2 linked regions of the Mus musculus genome follow. The protein of the gene in region 1 purifies or fractionates together with the protein of each later gene. This does not show direct contact. Links are inferred from orthologs where the notes say so. Each region holds a gene or a part of one and is shown on either strand. Other genes may lie near its edges.

Region 1 (3,829 bases):
GACTTTCTTGTGTGTGTGCATTGGTGTTTTGATTCCTTATATATTTGGGTAAGAGTGTCAGATCTTGGAGTTACAGACAGTTGTGAACTGCCATGTGGGTGCCAGGAATTGAACCCCTATTTTCTGGAAGAACAAACGTTCAGTGCTGTTAACTTCTGGGCCATCTCCCCAGCCCTAGAGGATTATTCTTTTGCTTCTGTTTTCCAAGTGCTGAAATAACAGGAATGTACCTTCATACTTGGCTTAGAGACATTTATTTTGAAGCAAGCATCTATTTTTCAGTATTTTATGTGCACTCTGAAGTCTTAGCATATAGATTATAATCACTATTAATATTAAAATTCCTTGCCCAAGAACATGGAAAATTTACTTGATTAAAAAAATGTAGGAGTTGGGGGCTGAAGAGATGACTCAGTGGTTAAGAGACTGACTGCTCTTCCAGAGGTCCTGAGTTCAAATCCCAGCAACCACATGGTGGCTCACAACCATCTGTACTGGGATCTGATACCCTCTTCTGGTGTGTCTGAAGACAGCTGCAGTGTACTCTTATAAATAAAATAAATTAAAAAAAACACATGAGTAAACTTATAGAATAAAAGCAAACTTTAGAAGATTACATGAAAGTATTTAGAATGATTATTGAGGTTGGCAAACAAAAGAGTCATGACAGTAGACCCTTGAAGGTATGTTTCCAAGGGTAAGGATTCTGTGAATCAGTGTTTGACTTGAGAAGCACTAATAAATAAATAAATAAATAAATAAATAATATATTTTATGTATTTTGGTTCCTCTTTCCTTTTCATGAATGCTTGTGCTTGCTAAGCAAGCATTCTACCAGTAGGCTAAGTTCTTAAACTCCTCAAACCATTTTTCTAAAGCCAGAATGGTTGTCAAAAACTTGTACTACATTTTGTGGGATTTTAAACTTTTTTCTTTAAATATGTATTGTTTCATGAATTCGAATGTCATCTTTGCAACAGGAGCCTTGCTGGTCTTCTCTGTATCATTCCAGTTTTAATAGGTATGCTGCCAAAAAGAGCACAGCTTTTAATTTAAAAAACTTTGTTTATTTATTTAATGTGTGTGTTTATTTGGCTTGCGTATGTGTCTATGTACCACATGCATACAGTATTATCAGGCCAGAAGAAGGTCTTAGATTTCCTGCGACTGGAGTTGGGCATGGCTATGAGCTACCATGTGGATGCTGGGAATTGAATCCAAGTCCTTTAAAGAGAAGTTGGTATTCTTATGCTCTGAGCTATCATTTTTAACCTTTTTGAACCTTGACTATTCTAGAAGCATCTTGGAGCCTATTGACCTTTCTTAAAATGTTTTTTTTTTTTTTTTTTTTTTTAGATTTATTTATTCATTTGTATGAGTAACTATAGCTGTCTTCAGACACACCAGAAGAGGGCATTGGATTCCATTTCAGATGGTTGTGAACCACCATGTGGTTGCTGGGAATTGAACTCAGACCTCCGGAAGAGCAGTCAGTGCTCTTAACCACTGAGCCATCTCACCAGCCCTTGTCAGTGCTCTTAACCACTGAGCCATCTCTCTAGCGCCCCCTCCCCTCCTTTTTTTCTTTCTTTCTTTGTTTTGTTTTTCGAGACAGGGTTTCTGTATAGCCTTGGCTGTCCTGGAACTTACTTTGTAGACCAGGCTGGCCTCAAACTCAGAAATCCGCCTACCTCTGCCTCCCGAGTGCTGGGATTAAAGGCGTGCACCACCACGCTCAGCTTCCTTTTATCTTTTTTTTTTTTTTTTAAGATTTATTTATTATTATACATAAGTACACTGTATGTCAGACATCCCAGAAGAGGCCATCAGATCTCATTACGGGTGGTTGTGAGCCACCATGTGGCTGCTCTGTAACAAAATAGGTCCTCTAAGGCCTTATTTACGCCTTTAACTCACACACTGCCTTGGCCTCTCTAGTAGCTAGGATTACAATAAATTGATACACTTAGTGAAAATCTGTTTTTTCCACAGTAAAAAATGGTATTTTATCTTGCTATTTCTGAATAATAGTTTTTATTACATAGTTTAGAAGTGTTGGGTAATCATGGAAGGTTATTTAACCAAGACTATGGCTTTTTGTATGTATGTGTTTTATTTTTTGTGAAATGATCTCTTTCCAGAAAAAAGATGTCTTGGATCCTTTCAATGATGAAGAAAAAGAAAGGCATAAGGTGGAGGCCCTTGCACGGAAATTTGAAGAAAAATATGTAAGATTTCTCTGTTGGGCAAGACAACAGCCTCATCAGTGAGAATAGTCTCCAAGCATTTCATGATCATTTAGTGGATAGTCAAAAGTGACCTGGAAATAGATGTAGTATTCAGAGGAAACAGAATGCAGCTATTAAACCAATGTATTAAGGTACAGAACTCTTATGTGGCAGGGCAGTGTGTGAGTTAAAGGCGTAAATAAGGCCTTAGAGGACCTATTTTGTTACAGAGCAGAAGAATCTGTTTTGTTCTTCTTTCTTAGGCCATTTATGCAGATTAAATCTGCTCTATTTCAAGTTTTAGGGGCGGGATTGGACTATGTATGTGTGTGAGAGAAAGAAGAGAGACAGAGACAGGTTGGGGGGTAGTATGTGTTTTCATTACTTTACAACTTAATCACTAGCCCAAAGCAACATTTAATTGTACTTACCAAAAAGCATGTGACTCCTTCCTTTTAAATTTCAGGGTGGAAAGAAACGTAGGAAAGACCGAATACAGGACTTGATTGATATGGGGTATGGCTATGATGAATCGGATTCTTTCATCGATAACTCTGAGGCGGTGAGTACTTAGTGGAATGATATTGTATGATACTGACAGTGGGGAAGTGGGGTTGTGGTATCTCAGTGTGTCCTCTTTGCACAAGCAGCATTGAGCTTAAGAGGAAGAGACCTCCTAAACCCAGAATTTTTTTTTTTATTTGAAAACCTCTTTCCAAAACATCTAGTAGCTTGCACATTAGTGATTGAAGAGAGGAGGTCTTAGCATCGTGTCTGAAGAGTGACAGGCAATCCCAGTTGCATCTCTTAAATTGTGCACCTTGGACCATAGAAGCAGAAGTGGGAGCTGATGATATGTTTCCCCCTTTAGTATGATGAACTTGTTCCTGCTTCTTTGACTACAAAGTATGGAGGATTTTACATCAACTCAGGAACCTTGCAGTTTAGACAAGCTTCAGAATCTGAAGATGACTTCATTAAAGAAAAGAAGAAAAAATCTCCGAAGGTTAGGATATTCTTTCTTTTGGACTTTAGAAATATATTTTGATGTGACTCTGTGAAATTAGTAGGTTACTCTAGAATATGTAGTCTCTTAGGATGCCTCAGGAGATTGGTGGACAGGTACAGGATGTGAACATGGGGATGCTGGTCAGGCCTTAGTCATTTCATCCATGTCTAAAGATGGTCCAGCAGGGTCATGTTTCCAGATAAGTCTTAGGGAGTGCTATGAACCCACTCCTCCTGACTTTTCCACTGTGGACTTGGAGAGGACTTTAATTCTGGGGCTGTCACCCACTGCATACTGGTCAGCCTTAGTTTGAGTATATTTCAGGGCCTGCCTACCACTGGCCATTACTTAAAATGAGCGAGTTCACCTACAACCAATTCTAGAACAGCCACCATGGTCTTCACTTGGATTCTTGCAGGAAACACTGTTGTTGGAATGTTGTGGGTTCTTGACCCAGGGACTGCTTTGAGAGACAGCTTTTTGTTCATGAAGGAAATGAGATGGGTCTGAAGATATACACTACACAGAGCAAGTCTAGTGTACTTGCTCTCTGACTCAGGGAATTGTGTAACTGCCTTTTTTTTTTAATTCT
Region 2 (3,094 bases), on another chromosome or scaffold:
TATAAAAACACTTCTTAAAAACCTTTAGATTTTCCACTGGGAATGGTTAAGAGGTTTAGTTACTGGTGACTAACTAAAGTACTCTATCTGCTAGGCCTTACCATAGACTAGAGTTAGTTCTCCTTTCTGCAGGTGAGGGTGGGATGCTTTTCATAGTCTGAAGATCTGTTGATCCAGGATTACTCTTTGTAGAACCTTTGTATGGCAGTAAAAGAGACTAGAACATATTACTGTTTCGGAAACTGAGATTTAATATATTACTGCTAAGATCCCAATAATTAGGGGTTTTGTTTGGGGAAAATTGTTCATTTGAAGTCTGGTTATTGTATTTTATTTCTTAGTGCTTAGCATTGAACCTAGGGACTTTTCCAGAGTATGGCCAAGGCAGTGAGCGATATTCCCAACCTGAAAATACACCAGGCTAAAGACACACTTATTTAACTACCTCTAACAGGGATACGAAAGGACCTTTCCCTCCCGTATGTATTCTTTAGGTAGCAGAAGTATAAGAGCAGGTACTTTGTTGGGGGGTGAAATATGTTCCCCACCCCTCACTTCCCTTTACCTTGTTTCTGAAGGCTAATAGTTCTTTAGCCCTTTGCTATTGTGGTCCTTACTTATTAGTTATGTGTAAGTGCTTCACTTGTTGATGCCTTTGCATATGAATTTAGTCTTCTAGAAAGATAAAGAGAACCACCCAGTTTGCACAGGGTAATCTAACTCCCTTAGTGCTTACCACTTAAATGTTTCTCTTTCTAGCTTCAAAGGAATATTTTGGCATCTAATCCCAGAGTCACAAGATTCCACATTAACTGGGAAGATAATACAGAAAAACTGGAAGATGCAGAGAGCAGTAACCCAAATCTACAGTCCCTTCTTTCAACAGATGCATTACCGTCAGCGTCAAAGGGATGGTCCACGTCAGAAAACTCACTCAATGTTATGTTAGAATCCCACATGGACTGCATGTGACCACGTGCCATCCCATTAGTACAGATTAAGCTATTAAAAACAGAACTATTTCCCTGAAGTTCCGTAAGTACATAGTCAACGTGAAATGTGAAGAATTTGTTTAAAAACATCCTGTAGAAAGTTTATAAGAAAAACCAGTATTTGAGCAAATTGTGGATTATAAATACAACTATTTTTAAGTACTTTTTTCTCTAATGTGTTATTTTATTTGTTCATGAAACTAATCTGATTAAAGCATATATATTATTTTCTTCTCTTTTATATGTAATTAAAGCACTTATATCAAATTATTAGACCAGGTTGTAAAGGTGTTGTTTTAGCCTCTTGGACAATAAGATTTACTAGCTTTTAAAAAAACAAAGTTTACTTCAACTAAAATGATTTATTCCTGTGAAGATAGTGTCCTTTTAATTTGAGGAGAAAACTTCCATTCTGTAGTAAAAAAGATCACATTAAAATGGGATTTGAAGTCAATTATATGCCACCAGGGTTTTTCTAGGCCACCCCAGTGCATCTTACCACAACTTGTGTTACACCAGACTTCTAGTTTTTATATAACAAATGCAGCTGCCTTTGAAGTCCCTCTGACTATGGTGTATGCTTCCTTACATCTAAAACTGGGAAACCACGACCATAAATCATTGTCCAGAGATTTCAACATGGCAAGAGCAAATACAAGTTCTCTAAAGTGTAAGATTACATTAAAATGGTTCAGATCTGCTCTTTCTTTCAGTTTACAGAAATGCCGAACTTACAAGGGTAATTTAGAAAGGCCTGGTTAGCTTTATTCTGGCTAGCTACTTTACGAAGCATGTCTTACCATTTGCAGTTGTATTACCCCATATCCTCTGGCTCTCATTAACGTGTAAGATCAGGGTATTTTCTGTAGTTGACATAATCTACATAACTTTTCCAGACTTCTTTTTTTCTTTCTGAAGAGCAGTTTTAGAAAGGATAAATGGGCCAAAAGTGTATTTTCTTTAATGAGAAGTAAATACTTCCTCAAAGTTCTGATCCATTACATTTACAGTACAGTATTTTCATTTGATTATGGTGATGATGCACAGGAGAGCCATGGGATGCAGGTTATGCGGTGCCTTCACATCTAAGCTTTTATACTGCACTTTTCAAAACAGTCTGAGGAAAAGGAAAGGGCATTTGTCTAAACAGACTCTTTTAAGTTGTATATATTTCTTGCTATTTTAAAAGGTAAATTTGTGCAACCAAGTCTTGTTAAATGTTAAACTTTGAAATTTAAGACTCCAGGTTATTACAGTATTGACCATTACCCAGTTCATAGATTTTAAAAATAAAACCTGACTACTAAAACGATTTGAAAAAAAAAAAATCTCATTTTGTCTAACTACAATTAGGAGAAAATGTTAAAACAAGAGTCCAGTGATCAAAACAGTAAGAATCAGTTTGTTAGAAATAAAACTAAATCTTCAAGTTAAGTGATTCACTGGAGTATTAAGTCTGATTATAAAAACTACTTTGTAATGAGATTATGTGGTTAAGGTTTTATATCAATTTTTAAATATATGGCCCATTGTCACAAAAGTTTGAGACATAAAAACTACTAGTTTTTATTATTTAAAAGTTACTGCTCTATAGAATTTAGTAAAAGAATAATAGAAACATTTAAACATTAACAACTAAGAAACTAGCATGCAGTGATTTTAGGCATTATGTCTGAATTATAGTTACAAGGAAGACTGCCCTCCACCCCATTTCTTATTTTTGAGATATGATCTCTCAACATAGCCTTGGCTGTCCTGACCTCTCCATGTAGACCAGGCTAGCCTTCAGCTCACAGAGATCCACCTGCTTCTGTCTCCTGAGTGCTGACATTAAAGGCGTTCTACTCCATACTCAGTGCTATTTCCTCTTTTTGATCAGTGTAAATGAATGTGTGGTGAATACATAACACACACAGCACACACACTCCATTCGCGCAGCTGAAGAGCTAGGTTATGATGGCATTGTTTGAGTTGAGGAAACGTTTCAGAATCTGAGGAGAAGCATGCATACAGTTGTTCATTCACAACCTGGTCTGACCCTTCATTTCTGTTACTGCTTTACCAAGAAAGTCTATGCGGACTGTCAACGTGGCTCAGTGGGT

The links.
Region 2: the proteins of Ubn1 (region 1) and Asf1a purify together in Homo sapiens (affinity purification with mass spectrometry; 6 studies listed by BioGRID and IntAct, counting the BioPlex papers as one, with this or other methods). This does not show direct contact. The link is inferred for Mus musculus from reciprocal best matches to the Homo sapiens genes UBN1 and ASF1A.

The regions. Positions count from the first base shown.
Region 1 is NC_000082.6:5,059,841-5,063,669, forward strand, and holds part of Ubn1 (ubinuclein-1), read left to right. Parts: intron 1-934; exon of another isoform or gene 935-1,042; intron 1,043-2,141; coding exon 2,142-2,228; intron 2,229-2,694; coding exon 2,695-2,790; intron 2,791-3,099; coding exon 3,100-3,234; intron 3,235-3,829. UniProt on the Homo sapiens protein: Acts as a novel regulator of senescence. Involved in the formation of senescence-associated heterochromatin foci (SAHF), which represses expression of proliferation-promoting genes. Binds to proliferation-promoting genes.
Region 2 is NC_000076.6:53,606,906-53,609,999, forward strand, and holds the end of Asf1a (histone chaperone ASF1A), read left to right. Parts: intron 1-227; exon of another isoform or gene 228-759; coding exon 760-972; 3' UTR 973-2,077; coding exon of another isoform or gene 2,078-2,109; 3' UTR 2,110-2,320; downstream 2,321-3,094. UniProt on the Homo sapiens protein: Histone chaperone that facilitates histone deposition and histone exchange and removal during nucleosome assembly and disassembly.